2 linked regions of the Struthio camelus genome follow. Each later gene encodes a partner of the first gene's protein in a complex. Links are inferred from orthologs where the notes say so. Each region holds a gene or a part of one and is shown on either strand. Other genes may lie near its edges. The genes, in order: LEPR and LEP.

Region 1 (8,253 bases):
TCAGGTCTCTAGAAGAGGTGATTTATAAAGAAAGACCGAATGAACTGGAGTGGTTCAGTTTACACAAAGGAAGACCAGTGTAAGACAACAATGTAACTTAATATAACTGATGCATACAAAGGGACTTTTGAAAGGAGGCAATTAGGTGTCTTCTGTCTCTCCCAAATATATGAAAATAGGGTTAAACTGCAGGAAAGAAGATTTAGTTTAGATACTAAGAAAAAAAAAAACCCTTTAAATAGATAATTATGCACTGGTGTAGATTACATAGGGAATTTTTTCCTTTTAGGGACCTCCAATGCTGTGCAGGGAAGTGGAAGAAAACTTGTTCCTTGAGCTTCAGTCAGACCTTTGTCTTGAGACCTTTTACTCTGAATAGAAAATTATTTTCTAGTGGTTCCTCTTTGAATGTGGCCTAACAGGAACATGACAGACTAGATAGCTTGTGATGGTTTTTGCTTATGTTAAGAAAGTCCAAGATGCAAAAAACATCAGCAGCTGCCTAACCTCAGACGGGAATTGTATGTAGACCAAATTTCCCAAATTGTCTTACTAGAATTCAGAAATAGTCTCAAAATATAATTTATATTCAATTAGAGATGGTGGTTATTTTAATGAGGAGAGAAATTGGCTAATGCTATTCGGAGGAAGTGGATCATGAATTATGGAAAGTCAATGAACAAATTAAAGCCAGTCAGTAGGTCCAATAGATAGTGTGAGAACATGTTCGAGCCTGTTTGCTGAGAAGAACTTGTAGTAGGTGAACAAAAATACTGTTCTTTATATCTTATGAGGCAGAAATTATTTTTGCATTTGTTTGCAAATAGTATTGCTGAAAAGGAAAAAAACATGCCATAAAAAACCTCTCTTGCACCTATCTGGGACTTACCAGTGTGTTACCTTGGTTCTGAACACTTGCTGCATTTTCCAAGAAAAAGCATGAGCACAAGCAAGAATAAAACCTCTAGATCCTCTGGCATCCAAGCACAACTTTTCTAGTTGTGCTCAGTCCTCAATTTAAATCCCTTGACATAACTCCTGGGTTTGTTTTTTTACTGGCAGTTCCTGTCAAATACGTGGTATTGTTTTACATATGCATCAGCGCTTTTCTCAAAGAGCTCTTTATTCACGAGGGCAAACACTAAAGTGTAAAACAGTCAAAATGTGATTTTAATATCCCCAAATATCCAATACTCTTAAAAGATGAGCCAGCAGGCAATGGATACATACATCATAGCAGAACCAGGTCTTTAAGAGAGATTTGAGTGAATGGACTTTGTTAAGAAAAGATAATCCATATGTGGGGATGCCACGGAAGCCTTGGAAACAACGGTGGAAGTGGGAGGTAAAGCAGAGCTTTGCTTCGGGGACCAACGTGCTGAAGGGTACAGATGAGCCAAGAGAGGGCAAGTCGTAATTGACTGTAAGGTGGGATAAGAATTTAAATACGCTTGTGTGGAAAGGGGAGCGGTAGTGAGTGGTTTGAAAAGTGGGTGAAATGGCTAGTTTAAGCCTTAAGGGAGGCACACTGGTAGCAAAGAAGCTTGGGCCTACAAGAGCCCATCCAAATTATATAATCCAGTTCTGTTTTATTGGGGACACCAAACTGTGTAATAATTCTTTTCACAATTTATTAAACACTCACTTAAACTGATTTTTTTTGTTCCTCTCACCCTGTTATTTCCATTAGAAGGCTGTTCCAGAAGTGCATATTCTTCTACTGGCCAAGACTCAGATTTAAATAACCAGCCCAAATGTATTTGTGGCAGGGTTATACCCATCTGATTTTGTGCCAGTGTTGTCCGTTGCTTGGAACAGTTTGCAGTTCCTTCCTCTCCCTGGGGTTTACGCGTCAGGTCTTTCCCTCTGCTCCCCCCAAATCTGTTCTTAAGTCGTGGATGTTTTCAAAAACAGATTTCATCACGCCCTCCTCTTACAGAGGCTTTATATATTTGTTCTTTCTCTTATTGTACTACTACTTAACAGATTTAGTAAAAATACCTGTGCCTGCGGCTTCCCTTTCACGTGCTAGTTCTTTCATAACTCCATCTTCATGCTTTAAACCCTTTCAGCGTTCTCCCTACTGTGGCTATAGTAATTTTAGTTTCCTTAACCTCTTATTAATCCTGCTTCTAACCCTATGGTCAACATTGCTATCTTAACTGAGGAAATTATTTAATATGGTTTTATAACAAATCTCTAATCCAATCTCTATTTTTGCTGGTTGTATTAAGGGGGTTATCTCTAATCTGCAATCTAATCTCGACTTTTGCTGTTTGTTTTAATATTTTTTCCAAGTCTCCTTCAGCTGGGTCTCTTGCCGTATCTTCAGTGACATCTGGCATGGACTGTTAGAGACAAAATACTCTGGGTGAATGTTCCACTATGGACTTAATACAAACTAGAGGTTCATATGCGTAACTGGGCATATAGCTGTGTGTTAGAAGAAAAAATAAACATAGAAGCGGTTATCTTTTATCTTCAGATAGTGATTGGAGTTCTGACTTTCATGTGAAGGTAGCTTTTAAATATATATGATAAATCATTTTGGAAAAATATAGATTGCTACAGTGTATTCATCATTCATTTTAGAACCATTTTGTATAACCTGGGGACGTTTTTCACCTTTCTAACTTCAAACCTAGTCTTCACAAATTTAATACTTGAAAAACTCTTTTTAATAATTTAAGGTCAGGTTTTAAATTTAGTTTTACTTACTAATTTTCACTGTTAATTTCTCCAATGTGGTTCAGGATATTTATGTAAAAAAAATAATTTTTGTGACAACAATCCATACAGTCAGTATTAAAACACATCATTAGTTATAGAGGCAGAGATGGAAATAGTCTCTCTGCATCCAGATTTTTGTGTAGAAATGTGTAATTTTTTTTAATTAATAGGAAATAATTATCTATGCTTTTGAAATGAATGTTTCATTAACTGAGTTACAAGCCAAGCTTTTTTTTTTTTTTTTTTAAATGAATGATTTTTGACATTTTTTGTGATGCAGAAATGAATTCTAGCTGGAAATCTAGGTGCTTTGAGGAAACCTCTCCATTGCTTAAGATCATAATTCTAAAAAGAAAGTAAATCACATATAATATGAGTTTACTGAGAAATTCTATTTCAGGAGAGTGAATCCTTCTTGAATCACAGAATCACGGAAGGGATGAGCTTGGAAGGGGCCTCTGGAGATCATCTAGTCCAACCTCCCTGCTCAAGCAGGGTCCTCTAGAGCCTATTTCCCAGGAATATGGGAATTTCCCAGGAATATTTTCCCAGAATAATGGATGCTAGTCGGTACCTTATGCCCATACAGCGTTTCAAGTGAAGTGAATGGGGCTGCTTATAGAGACGGGTGGAGCCTGGCAGGATTTAGATATCAAGGATCGTCTCCTTCCGGAAGTTTCATCCTCGTGCATGCAAAAGTAATGATTCAAGTTTTGTATGTGCAAATGCACATGAGTGATTGGGTTGGTAAATCAGTCATGAACCCTTTATTCGTTACACGAAAAGAGGAGCAGACTTCTCTACATAGCATCCTATATGTTAAAAGCACTACGCCTTTCCATACAGATTGGCTTTGTAAAAGCATGAGAATGGGTAACCTCCTTAGTATGATCTGTACGTATTAAAAAAGTCTCTTTAGAATCATGTCTGTATTGCTTACTTAGAACTATATATAAAATTTTGTACATATAGCCAATACAACTTAAAACTAAGATAAAGAGTAAGCTATTGTGGTTTTTAATGTCTAAAAAAAATCAAAATACGCAGGCTAGTGAGTTAATTTTAAAATAAAGCTCTGATTTTTTTGTCCTTAAACAATCTTAGGACAAATTACCGTTTAAAAATCAATCCAAATACAGACTCAGAGATGACCTATAATACTGCAGGTTAAATCATCGCTGCATTGCAGATGATGGCAAAAACTTAGGATTTTGCCCAATGTTACATGCTATCATCTTGGGCAAATAAGTTTTTAAAATAAAATCGAGATATAAGTAACAGCTCTTTTAAAATGATAGTCTAAAGTTGGTTGTTTTGTAGGACTCCTATACTTGTGTTACTTGAGATTGAAAAATTACGTTTCTTGATCAAAACCGAACTCTTCTACGACTGGTGAGCACCAAGTGGCTCACACTTCTGGACTAAAATAGTTATGCATAACAACGCGTTAATGTCTGCCCATATACTTTATGCACCTTGGAAGTCTCTGGCAGGCCGTTAATACAAACATTTTCACGAATTAAAAAAATGGGATTTTCCGGATCATATTCTATACCTTTACTCATTTTCTAGTATATAATTGAACAAGCAGCCCAAATTGAATGGGATAGCGCTGCTTAAAGAGTAACGTGCTGTTTACCAGAATTAAATGCATCCAAATCAGATCTTTTAAAACGTTAAATAGTTATTTGTCCTTCTACGGAGAAGTGGGCACGTTTGCGTTAGGAATAATAACTCACCACCTTTAGGTTTAGCATTTTGTGAAACCTCAGAGATCCTTGGCAAACGCGACGAGTAGGCGCAAGCAGCCAGAAAGAGCCCCTGGTACTTCGTGTCACCTTTTACGTTCGTAATCGGATGTTTTGTGCAGCCTACGCTGTTAAAACCACTAACCCGAAATACTTCAGGAGAACATTAATTCTTGATGAATGTGTCTATGGATTCAGACCGGGCTGACTGTTCCCAGAAGCGTCTCTATTTAGGTAAAACAGACCCACTCTGCGTTCAAAAAAAAAAGGGGGGGGAGGGGGGTAAGAAATGTCATTGAATTTCCTTCCCTGTTAATCACAAAGCGCTAAGCTATTAATATAGCAGGAAAAACTACGCGAACGTTCACGCTCGGTTCCTCCTTGGCCCCAAGTCCTGAGGCAACGTCCTGAACGCTCGAGGTTTCCCCGTGCGCGGCCGTTGGGGCGGGGCGGCGGCCGTTGGGGCGGGGCGGCCGCGAGGGCGGGAAGAGCGGGGCGGCGGCGGCGGCGACCCTCGTCTGTGCGCGTCGCGGCGCCGGGCGCCAAAGCGATCGCAGGAGCTGCCGAAAGAAAGGAGGAGAAAACAACAGGGAAAAAAAAAAAAAAAAAAAGCTAGTTTCGGCGTAACTTCGGCTGAGGCTCTGGAAACGCGGCGGAGTAGGTCTGTGTCTGTACCCGCTTGTTTATTTCGGCTTCTGTCCCGCGGCCGGTGGCGGCGCTGGCCCCTCGCGGCCGGGCGGGGAGGGAGGGAGCCCGCGGGGCGGGAGGGCTCTGAGGGACTAGGCGCCCGGGGCGCCGCCGCCCCGGTTCGTGAGGGGCGCTCCAGCGGCCGGGGGAGGGTTTTTTTTTTTTTTGCGGGCGTCGTGGTGGTTCGCCGGCCGAGGTTTTTTTAGCTGCCGCAGCCGGGGCGAAAGGGGCCGCTCGCGTCGCCTCTCCGTGAGAGGAACGGGGCGCGGGAAACGACGACCTCCTCCGGCCGCCAGCCTCGTCCCGTCCTGGCCCCCAGTGCCGTCCCTGGGGGCCATCCGTCCAGCTTCGTGCTGACGGCGTAAGCGGGAGGGGAGCTCGAAGGTGGCGTGCGGTGCAAACGACGTCGTTTTTGCTGAGAGACGTGTGGTGAGCAAAACGCAGCTCCTCTGCGAGTGCGGGTTTTTTTTTTTTTTTCTGAAGAGAGCAGCTTTCTAAGGGACGAGGCCAGCTGGGAGGCTGACACGATGTATATAAGCCCCTCACCGTTGGGCTTTTTTTTTTTTTTTAATTAATTTTTTTCTTCTTTTGAGGTGTTAGTGTTTGAAGGAAAAAAAGACGTCTGTGTGAAGGTGCAGCGGAGGACGGGCTGCTGGGTGAGTGAGTGGCGCTGTAGTATATAGTCCATCCTGACAGGAAAGCGCTTTGGAAATTTTATCTGCCAATTATTGACACGGACACTTATAAATAGAGTTTACAATGAAAACACTGAGAGCCCTCAACTACCACATGCAGCTATAATCTGAAGGAGTTTTAAATGCCAGATAATTACAGGAGCTGCGCTTGCACCTGCGTGTAAGGAAGAACCGATGTATGCTCATCCGTGAGGAGTGCAGGACCAGTGTTTGTTAACAAATGCTTTTCTCTATCCCTTGCTTAAAATCATCAATATTTGTGGAATTTAAGTCTCTTAAATTGAATGCATGTCATGAGTGTGCACAGACTTAGATACTGCATTTGGTAGTGTTTTCTGGAAGTATGGGGGGGGGGGAAATGCAGCTCTTCTGCTGCTGGCACCCGTTCCTGGGTCTCTGGCATGGGGTGGCAGAGGAACTCTCTGAGCGCTGTGGATGTTTGCTGAGTGAGGGGTTAGCCTCAGTACAGACAAGGCAAAAATTGGCTCTAGTCTCGGGGCATTTACTCTGGTGTTTTGGAAGAGAGGCTGCACAGGCGGACTTAGAGGCTGTTTTTGTAGCCGTGCTTTCTCTTTCTAAAAATCAGTGTGTACTGGTGGGACAAGGGTAGCTCTGCTGCTGATTTCATTCTTCTCAGTGTGTGGGGTGATGTGCAACTTAGGTTGCCTTGGTTAAAGCTTTGGTGGTATTTGAAAGTGAAAAATATTCAGTACAAATTCCACTTCCATTGCTATTTTCCATGTTTCATTTACTCTGAACTCTTTATTTGTAATGTTTACTCATATACTGAATGACAAACAAATGCAGTGAATTTCTGTGCCCAGGAGGGCTGACTAAGAACCATTGCTCTTGCCAAAACCAACAGGAGTGGGAAGTCCTCAGCACCCTTAAAGATCAAGCCAGAAGACGTTGTGCGTAGGCATTATTACTAGAATATTTTATGCTTTATAGAGATCTTTTAAATATTTAAAAACAGCTGTAGCAGAGTGCTTTCAAAACTCAGGGACAGTTTGTATGCTTACAGTATTATGTTCCCATTTCCCATTAACTAGCAGCTGTTGTTGTTTTTTTAGGAGAGTGGGAATAAGAAAAAAAGAAAAAAAAAATCCTCACTTCCAAAGCTTGTATGTGCGTAGGGTATGTTGTTTGAGGAAAAATACGAGATTCCAATAATTGAATTTCTGTAAGTTTCCGTAGCTTCTGAAATTCAGGGAAAAATATGATTTTGGAGTATTTGCTTATTGGCAAACCACTTGCTAGTCCCTCTGTCCCTGTAAAAGGCAATGAGAATTTTACAGCTGAGTTCAGTGGTGTCAGGATTACACCACTCAGCTGTGTCCAGGAAAGGTTGTAGGGACTCAGCACTCTTAGTCATGAGTGCCACCCTCTGTTTACTAATATTCTGTCTTGTATTACAATCCTCTTCTCACGTTAAGCTTATCTTTTGTAATTCAGAGGTGAGACATGCAAAAGTGTAAGTTGTCAAGGCAAGGAACTGGGAGGGGGCAGCTCCAGGAGAAAAAGGAAACATTTTGTTATGTTTTTCTGAGCCCGGTCAGCAGGTGTTTGTGGGTCGCCAGCCAGTTTCATTTCAGGCTATGCTGAAAATGTTTCCCATGCTGATATGCCAATGAATTGTACAACTTCTCAGCTTGCCTGTAAAAAATGATCTTAATTTCATTACCCTTCTTGCTTGTCATGTTTGCTGTTTTGAATTTAATTGGATGTTTTTGTTGAGACAGGGATTCTCCTTACTGCATTTGTTCAGCGTTTAACACAGAGGAACACGCTATTAACTTACAAAATTGGAAAACTTCTTGTATGCAGCAGCAGAACAGCTAGTGGTTCCAGATTGCAGTATCTTAAGGCAGATCCCTTCCATGTGTATAGATATCATCCCAACCATGCATGCAACAACTGTTGCTCCTTGCTGTGTTGCTAGCTTACTTGCTCCAGGACAGAGCTGTATTTAAAAGCTTTTATAATACTTCTGTACTGATCTTCCAGTTCCCTGCAATTGTTCCTATAAAACTTGTATTTTCTTGTTAGAAGTCCTAACTAACCTCTTTCTAAGTTCAGTGTTTTCACTAGAAAAGATATTCAGTGTTCCTATCCAGTCCAGGAATACATTCCAGTCATCCTGGGAGTTTTCTGTAGCTAGTTCTCTCTAACAAATTTTTATTTAAAGTGTCAGAAGGGATACTAAACCATGAAAAGAAAAGCAGCTAATGCTTAAAGACATGTAGCTTGCATTGCTTTTTGATCATGTACAGTACTGTTTTTTTTGTTCATGAATGTTGTTGGAATCGGCATAAAAAAATAATACATTGGTAAAAATTCAGCTTAGACTGATGCAATACAAGTAGAAAAAGATGCCTTGAGGAGCTAATTTG
Region 2 (8,085 bases), on another chromosome or scaffold:
GGCGCTGGCCGGAGGAGCGGCTGGGCCGGCGGGCTCAAGGCTCGGTGCTCGCCGGCCGTGGGGGACGTGGGGGGACGCCCTGCCCGCAGGGGGTCCGGGCTGCAGCCGCCCGGCCTCCAGCCTGCTGCGCCCGGCTGCTCATCCGGGGTCGCCTTTGGGCAAATTCTTGCGTTTTCCAGCCGGTTTGGAAACTCTCAGGGTCCTGGCGGAGCCCCCGAGCCTGGCTGCTCCGCGCCGGAGGGCACCGGCGGGGGCCGGCGGGACGTGGCCCTCGGCAGTGGTGTCAGGCCGGGTCACGGCGGCAGCCCCTTGCCGCAGCTGCCCCGCCACCGCAGGAATGCGCAGGGCCGGTGCTAATCCGGGCTGGCCGCGGGGGCTCCCCCGGGGCCGCTGAGCTCACGCCGGCTTTCGTCAGTCCCTGCAACGGGGCGCAAGAAATCCCGTAAAACCCATGAATCAACCGGGCCTTTTCTGGACCAAAAATAACAGCAAAAAAATAAAGAGAAGCGCCCGGCGCCTTCCCGAAGGATGAGGAGGAGCGAGGAGCATTTACGGGCTCTTGGCTCGGCTCCCCGCTCCTCCGGCCGCTTCCAGCCCGGGGAGCCCCGGCCCCTGCCCCGAGGGGCCCCCCCTCCGCCGGGCTGCCGGGGAGCATAGCCCTAGGTGGTGCCCCCCCCAAAAACCCACCCCGGGACCCCCTTTTCCCCCAACACGGTCCCACCTCGGGGAGGCTTGGTGATGCAGAGGGGCTTGGGGAGCCCGGACTGCCCGCTCCTCCCAGCGGCGCCCACGACGCCAACCCCGCAGCCGGGCGAGCGCGTTGCAAGGCCGGGCGGCTGCGGAGCAGGAGCAAACCCCGCCGCTTCCGCCCGCGGCCGGGCTGCCCCGGAGCCAGCTACCGGAGGGCTCGGGGTGCCCCTGCCCGCTCCTCGGCAGCCGCCCCCCGGCCGCGGAGCCGCGTTGTCCACTGCACGGACGCCGTGCCGTCCAAAGGGCCAGCTAGGTCCGGCAGACCGCGCTGCCGGCAGCGCTGGGGTAGGAACCGCGGGGCGGGAAGGTGCTGAGCATCCTGCCCTGGTGCCCAGCTGGCTTGCTGGGCTCACATAGCCCATGAGTAGATGGTGCGCCAGGGGTGCGCGGCCAGGAGCTGCCCCTGCGGAGAGGGGACGTGAGAGGTCCGGCACCGCAGGGCCCCCAAGGTGGTGGCACCAGCCTCAGGGTCCCACCAGCCACGCTGGGGTGACAGCCAGGAGCTCTTCGCCCGGGTCAGCGATGCTGAGCCTGGATCCCAGGGGAGCTGCACCGGCCATCTCCAGTGGGACACATTTCCATCCCGGCTCCGGCGCGCCTGGAGGGGACGGGCCGCTGGGCTCCCCCGTGACCCCCTGCCACCCCGGGCTGGAGCCAGGGTTTGCGCAGGACCCGCGGGAGGCACACGGAGGTCGTGGCGGTGGCCGGAGCCAGGCACAGCCCTGCGAGACTGCAGCATCTTCCCTGCGCACGAGCAGAGCTGCTGCCGTGGGCCCAGCTGCTGCGGGATGGGGGGCTCGGCCGGGGAGGGACCGGCACCCTGCGTCCTTGGTGGCCCCGGCTCCTCCAGAGCAGCCAGGGTGAATGCGGGGACGGAGAGCCCCGGGATGCTCCCAGCGCCGGGGAGGCACCGGAGCGGCTCCGGAGAGGCCTCGGCCAGCCCCGCGGCACGGGGCGCGGGGAGCAGCAGCCAGCCCGGCGTGGGCCAGCCCCGGCGCCTTGCCCCAGCAGCGTCCCCAGGCGCCCGCTTTCCCCAGCAGCGCGGGTGCACGGGCTCCGGTGAGTGCCGCGGCGGGCGTGTGCCCAGGTGTGTGCACGTCCAGGTGTGCATGCACCCAGCCGGGGGTGGGGTGGGGGTGTGCACGCGCGTGTGTCTGTGTGTGCACCTGTTCCTAGGTGTGCGCTTGCCCAGGTGTGCGCATGCCCAGAAGCATGTGTGCCCAAGGGTGCACGTGCCCAGGGGTGTGTGTGTGTGTGTGTGCGCACCTTGGTGTGTGTTTGCCCAGGTGTGTGCATGCCCTGCTGTGTGTATGCCACCGAGTGCGCTATTCACCAGCCTGATGACACCACCTCCCCGGCTGACATCCTGTGAGGTCCCGTGTCCTGCCTTCACCAGAGCCCCAGGTGACCCATCCGTGGTGGGACACCACCACACTGAGCCGGAGGGAGCCCTGTCGTGTGACAGTGTTCATGTGCACACCCCGCACCCAGAGCTGCATACGTGTGTGCGCACAACCGGGCGCATAGCCAGGTCTCCCGGCTGCACCAACGAAGGGTGCATGCACCCACCTGGCGTGTCCGGGTGTCTGCACACATGGTGCATCCCCGTGCGCGTGCACACCTGCCTGCACACGTGTGTGTGCGTGCATGCATGCGTGTGCACCCCAGCAGCACCGGTGCGCGCCCCGTGTTCACCCTACCCACGCCATGCACCTGTGAGTCCTGGGCCGGGGCTGCTGCCTATGGGGGGCCAGGGGGGTTGGGGGGCAGGCGGGATCAGGGGGGCTCCCATCCCACCTCCTCCTGGCCCAAGGGCCGCAGGTGAGCCCCGGAAGCTCAGGATGCCCGAGGCTGGCAGCAGTGTCCATCCCGGGTGGGGGGTGCCCCTCCTGTCCTGCCCCCTGTCTCCATACGGAGCAGATCAGATTGAACAGGGGGGCAAGCCCCCCCCCCGGGCAGGTCAGGGGGAGAGACCCCCCCCCCCCAAGGGCGCTGGGCAGGGCCGTACTGTGCTCTGGGGGACACTGCAGCCCCGGTGGGTGCCTGTGTGCATGCGCCGGCGGTGCGGATGTGTCACCGCGCACACAGAGGGTGGCGGGGGGGGGGGTCCAGGACCCACGCACGTCTTTCCCCGGGGGAGGGTGGCAGGGTGCGGGTGTGGGGCAGGCACCTGGGCACGGACAGCTCAGCGGATTCAGGCCCGTGGGTCGGTGCCACCCAGGACTGTGCTGCGGGCTCCCGGCTCCCGGCTCCCGGCTCCCAGCTCCCGGCTCCCGGCTGTGGGATGCGCTCCCGCACAGACACCGGCATCCCCTGTGCTCCGTGTGTCCCTGTATCCCTCTCTCCTCCGTGTGTCCTGGGACCCCACTGTGCTCCGTGTGTCCCCACATCCCCCCATGATCCGTGTACCCTGGGATGTCCCCGTGCTCCATGTGTCCCCACATCCCCCCATGATCCATGTGTCCCTGTATCCCTCTCTCCTCTATGTGTCCCGGGACCCCACTGTGCTTCACGTGTCCCCGCATCCCCCAGCGATCTGTGTGCCCTAGGATCCCCCCGTGACCCATGTGTCCCCGCATCCCCCCGTGATCCGTGTGTCCCTGTGACCCCTCGTGCTCTGTGTGTCCCCACATCCGCCCGTGCCCTGTGTGTCTCCGGCATCCCCCCCATGCCCCGTGTGTCCCTGTATCCCTCTCTGCTCTGCGTGTCCCGGGACCCACTGTGCTCCGTGTGTCCCCGTATCCCCTCGTGCCCTGTGTGCCCTGGGATCCCCTCGGTGCCTTGTGTATCCTAGCATCCCCCCATGCTCCCTGTGTCCCCTCTTCCCCCCGTGTCCCCGGCATCGCCCCCTGAGCTCCGTGTGTCCCCACATCCCCCTGTGTCCACGTCCCCCCATGCCCAGTGTGTCCCTGAATCCCCCTGAGCCCAGTTTGTCCCCGCATACCCCCATGGTCCGAGTGTCCTGGGATCCCCCCCGTGCCCCATGTGTCCCTGCATCCCCCCCACTGTGCTCTGTGTGTCCCCACATCCCCCCGTGATCCGTGTGTCCCCACATCCCCCCATGCTCCGTGTGTCCCCGCATCTCCCCGTGCCCCATGTGTCCTGGGATCCCCCCCCCACCCCATGTGTCCCCGGGATCCCCCCATGCCCCATGTGTACCGGGATCCCTCCGGGATCCCCCCGTGCATCCACCCGTGATCTGTGTGTACTGGGATCCCCCCGTGCCCCATGTGTCCCTGTATCCCCTCATGATCCGTGTGTCCCAGGATCCCCCCGTGATCCGTGTGTCCCGGGATCCCCCCGTGCTCCGTGTGTCCCCACATCCCCCCAAGCCCCGTTCGTCCCCACATACCCTCATGCCCCACGTGTCCCTGCGTCCCCCCATGCCCCGTGTGTCCCGGGATCCCCTGTGCTCCATGTGTTCCCGCATCCCCTCCATGCCCCGTGTGTCCCCACATCCGCCCTTGCCCCTGTGTCCCCACATCCCCCCGTGCTCGGTGCGTCCCGGGATCCCCCGGTGCTCCGTGTGTCCCCTCATCCCCCCGAGCTCTGTGTGTACCCGCATCCCCCCGAGCCCCACGTGTCCCTACATCCCCCTATGCCCCGGGTGTCCCCACACCCCTCCGTGCCCCGTGTGTCCCGGGATCCCCCCGTGCCCCGGATGTCACCGCATCTGCCAGCGCGCCGTGTGTCCCCGTATACCCCCATGCTCCGTATTTCCCCACATCCCCCCGTGCCCCGCGTGTCCCGGGAACACCCCCGTGCTCCGAGTGTCCCCACATCCCCCCGTGCCCCGCGTGTCCCGGGTTCCCCTCGTGCCCCGTGTGTCCCTGTATACTCTCGTGATCCGTATTTCCCGGGATCCCCCCATGCCCCCTGTGTCCCCGCATCTCCCCGTGCCCCATTTGTCCCCGCATCTCCCCGTGCCGGGTATGTCCCGGGACCCCCCCGTGCCCCGCGTGTTCCGGCACCCCCCCGTGCTCGGTATGTCCCGGGACCCCCCCCGCGTGTCCCGAGACCCCCCCCGTGCTCCCGGGCTCCCCGACAGCCCCTGGGGGGTCGGTGGAGCAGGGCGGAGCGGGGTTGCCGGGCCGGGCAGCCCCCGGGCCGGGGCCGGGGCCGTCGGGGCGGGCGGGCAGCGCCGGGCGGGGGCGGGCAGCGCCCGTTGTGCAACGGCCCCGCTGCCCTATATAGGAGGGGCCGCGGGACATGGAGCCACCGGCCGCGACGGGACGGCACCGGACGGGGCGGCCCCCAGGTAAGCCGGGCGGCAGCCGGACCCTCTCCCCGGCCGGGCCCCGCGACCCCCCTCTCCTGGGCGCCCCTGCCCGGGCTGCCGGTGGGGCCGGCTGCGCCCTGCCCCCAGGCCCCCCCCCACCCCCCGGGGTGCAGCGCTGGCGGAGCCCTGCAACACGCTGGGGTCCAGCTCTGGCCGAGGGTGCAGCAGCCGGGGACGCCAGCTCCGCTGCAGTGACCCCAGGGAGGCTGGCCGGGGCCTGGCTGGGGGGCGACGGAGACCCAGGAAGGGGGGAATCCGGACCCCAGACCCCCCCCCCCACCTCTCCCTCCTGGGTGGCTGAAGCTGGCTAGCCTGCCCCACGTCCCACGGACCGGGCACGGTGCGTCGGCCGGCCTGCGGCCCCGAGCCGGCTCCCTGGGCCTCACCTCTGCTCCCGGCCGGACCCGCTCAGCGTGTCGGGGAAGGAGCCGGCGGGATCTCCGGGGAGCGCTGAGGAGCTCCCCACGCACCCCAGAGCCCGCAGCCGCCTCTCCGCGGCCCCCGCCGCGGTGCCCGCCTGGCCGGCACCCCCCGGCCTGCGGTGTCTGCAGCCCGGCAGCCGGCCGGCTGAGCCCGAGCGGGGCGCTGGGGCAGCTCCCGCCGGCTCGAGGCCGAGCCTCGGTGGTGCCCGCCTGGAGGCTGCGAGGATGCACGCCGTGCCAGCGGGTTGGGAAATCCCGGATGCGCGCTGCTCCCTCGCCTCTGCAGGGGTCTCCCCGCCGGCGCGGGGAGGTCAGTGCCTGCTCGGACAGCGGCTGAGCATCCCGGGCTGCAGCACCCACGCGGCTCCCCGAGGAGCCGGTGGGGGGGGACAGCAGCACCTTCCTGGGGGTGGCCCTGCACCCTCTGCCCCCGGCCAGGCCGCGCACCCTGGGTGCACAGCAGCAGCAGCTGGCGGGGGGTTGCTCGCCCTGCTCCGAGTGGGGCGGCGATGCTGGGGGGTCCTGCCCAGACCCCAACTCACCCTGGTGGTGGGGGAGGTCCCCTGTCCCAGTGGTCACGGGGGGGGGGTCTCTCTCCTTTCAGGCTCTCCCAGCTGGTGCGAGTGTCCGGTGAGTACCCACCGCCAGGCCCTTTCGCCCCTGCGTCTGCCGGCGAGCATGGAGGGTGCAGGCAGGGCCTCATCCTGCTGCACCTCGGCCTCTCCCATCACCTGGCCCGCCGGGACGGTGCTACAGGGGGGCAGCTCCCCTGCTCCGGGGTGACCGGCTGCGGGGGGAGCGGGGCTCAGGCCACGGCTGGGACACACACGGGGGGGTCCCCAGCAGCGCGGGGAGGGAGGGAGCATCGTCACCTGCCGCCGCCGGCACACGGGGCTGGATGCCCAGGGCCCAGCGCCAGCCCCGCGCGGTCGCGGCTGGGCACAGCCCAGGCCCTGGGGACTTTGGGCCGAGCTTGCGAAAGGGCAGCTCCGGGAAGGCTCCCGGCACGGCCACCCTGGCACGTGCCGGCAGGGGACGGGGACACCGCTGACACCATGTCTCCCCGGGCGCCTCATGTCACCCTCTTCCTCCCTGTGCACCCGGGATGGGGGGCAAGGTGCAGTGACACTCTCCGTTTTGTGATGCCTTGTTGCAAGAACCTGGGTGTTTTGTGTCCCACGTCCCCTTGGACGGGGGGACAGGGAGGATACGTAGCCCCCAGGGAGGGACGGGGTCAGCACCAAGACGGTGCCTGCGTGCCGCAGCAGCCCGGCGCCCCGGTCCCCTCCCCAGGGGCGCCGTGGGGTGGCACTTGCGCCCGGCGAGTGCCCGAGCGCCTCGGCGCGTCTCGCCCGGCAGAGCCCAGCAGGATGCGGTGGCCCGGCGTGTCGCTCTGCGGGCTGCTCTGGATGTGGCTCCCGCTCTCCTGCGGCCGCCCCGTGAAGATCGACAAGGTCAAGGCAGACACCAAGAACCTCACCCGGACCCTCATCGCCCGCATCCAGGAGCTGCAGGCAAGGGCCGCAGGACGACGGGGCAGCGGGCGGTGGTAGGGACCCTGGCGGTCACCCCCGCCCTGACGTCCCCGCCATGGAGCCGCTGGGTCCCAGCAGGGACGGGGACAGCTCGGGGCTCAGAGGCATCCTGGGTGTCAGCAGGGGGGACACTCGCCTGCAGCGGAGCAGGGGTGCCAAAGCGCTCCGGAGGGGCCCCGGCTCCCTGGGAAGGGGCAGACATCGCGGGCCTGGGCTGGGCTGTGACAGGGGGCCCTGTGCTCCTGAAGGGTCCGCAGGGAGGGACATGCACCCTGGGATGGGGTATGACGGGGTGGTCCTTTGGCCCAGGGGTTCCTAGAGAGGGACACCCACCCCAGGCTCAAGTGTGCCAGGGTGTCCCTGCAGCCCAGGGGTCCCCAGGGAGGGACCTGCACCCCGGGCTGGGGTGTGCTAGGGTGTCCCTGCAGCCCAGAGTGGTCCCCAGGGAGGGACACCCATCCCAGGCTGGGGGGTACTGAGGTGTCCCTGCAGCCCAGAGGTCCCCAGGGAGGGACATGCACCCCGGGCTGGGGCTGGGTGCCAGGGTGTCCCTGCAGCCCAAAGGTCCCCAGGGAGGGACGTGCACCCTGGGATGGAGCTGGGGCTGGGGTGTGCCGGGATGTCCCTGCAGCCCAGAGGTCCCCAGGCAGGGACGTGCACCCCGGGCTGGGGCTGGGGCTGGGGTGTGCCGGGATGTCCCTGCAGCCCAGAGGTCCCCAGGCAGGGACGTGCACCCCGGGCTGGGGCTGGGCGCCGGGATGGCCCTGCACCCCGGGCAGGGAGCGGGTGCCGTGCCCTGACCGCAGCCCGCCGGTGCAGCTCTTCCCCCTGAACCTGAAGATCAGCGGGCTGGAGTTCATCCCCGGCGAGCGGGCGCCCGAGGGCCTGGCCGCCATGGACCAGCGGCTGCAGGGCTTCCAGCGGGTGCTGGCCGGCCTGCCGGCGGGCAGCGTGCCGCTGGCGCAGATCGCCAACGACATGGAGAACCTGCGCAGCCTCCTGGCCGCCCTGGCCGCCCACCTGGGCTGCACCCTGCCCCTCGCCGCCACCGCCGCCGCCGCCGGCCCGGCCAACCTCGCCGATCTGCTGGCCGTCTCGC

Evidence for each region.
Region 2: the proteins of LEPR (region 1) and LEP are in contact, whole or in part, in a crystal structure (PDB 7Z3R), measured with the Mus musculus proteins. The link is inferred for Struthio camelus from reciprocal best matches to the Homo sapiens genes LEPR and LEP. Residues at the interface, in NP_666258.2 of Mus musculus: Tyr439, Leu440, Thr441, Arg466, Ser468, Leu469, Tyr470, Gln499, Pro500, Ile501, Phe502, Leu503, Leu504, Ser505, Val560, Phe561, Glu563, Asn564; in NP_032519.1 of Mus musculus: Lys26, Val27, Asp30, Thr33, Leu34, Lys36, Thr37, Thr40, Arg41, Gln92, Gln96, Asn99, Asp100, Glu102, Asn103, Asp106, Leu107, Leu110.

What each region holds. Positions count from the first base shown.
Region 1 is NC_090949.1:36,498,132-36,506,384, forward strand, and holds the start of LEPR (leptin receptor), read left to right. Parts: upstream 1-5,012; 5' UTR 5,013-5,139; intron 5,140-5,758; exon of another isoform or gene 5,759-5,765; 5' UTR 5,766-5,821; intron 5,822-8,253. UniProt on the Homo sapiens protein: Receptor for hormone LEP/leptin. On ligand binding, mediates LEP central and peripheral effects through the activation of different signaling pathways such as JAK2/STAT3 and MAPK cascade/FOS.
Region 2 is NC_090942.1:1,271,436-1,279,520, forward strand, and holds the start of LEP (leptin), read left to right. Parts: upstream 1-4,981; 5' UTR 4,982-5,008; intron 5,009-6,055; 5' UTR 6,056-6,081; intron 6,082-6,810; 5' UTR 6,811-6,821; coding exon 6,822-6,965; intron 6,966-7,805; coding exon 7,806-8,085. UniProt on the Homo sapiens protein: Key player in the regulation of energy balance and body weight control. Once released into the circulation, has central and peripheral effects by binding LEPR, found in many tissues, which results in the activation of several major signaling pathways.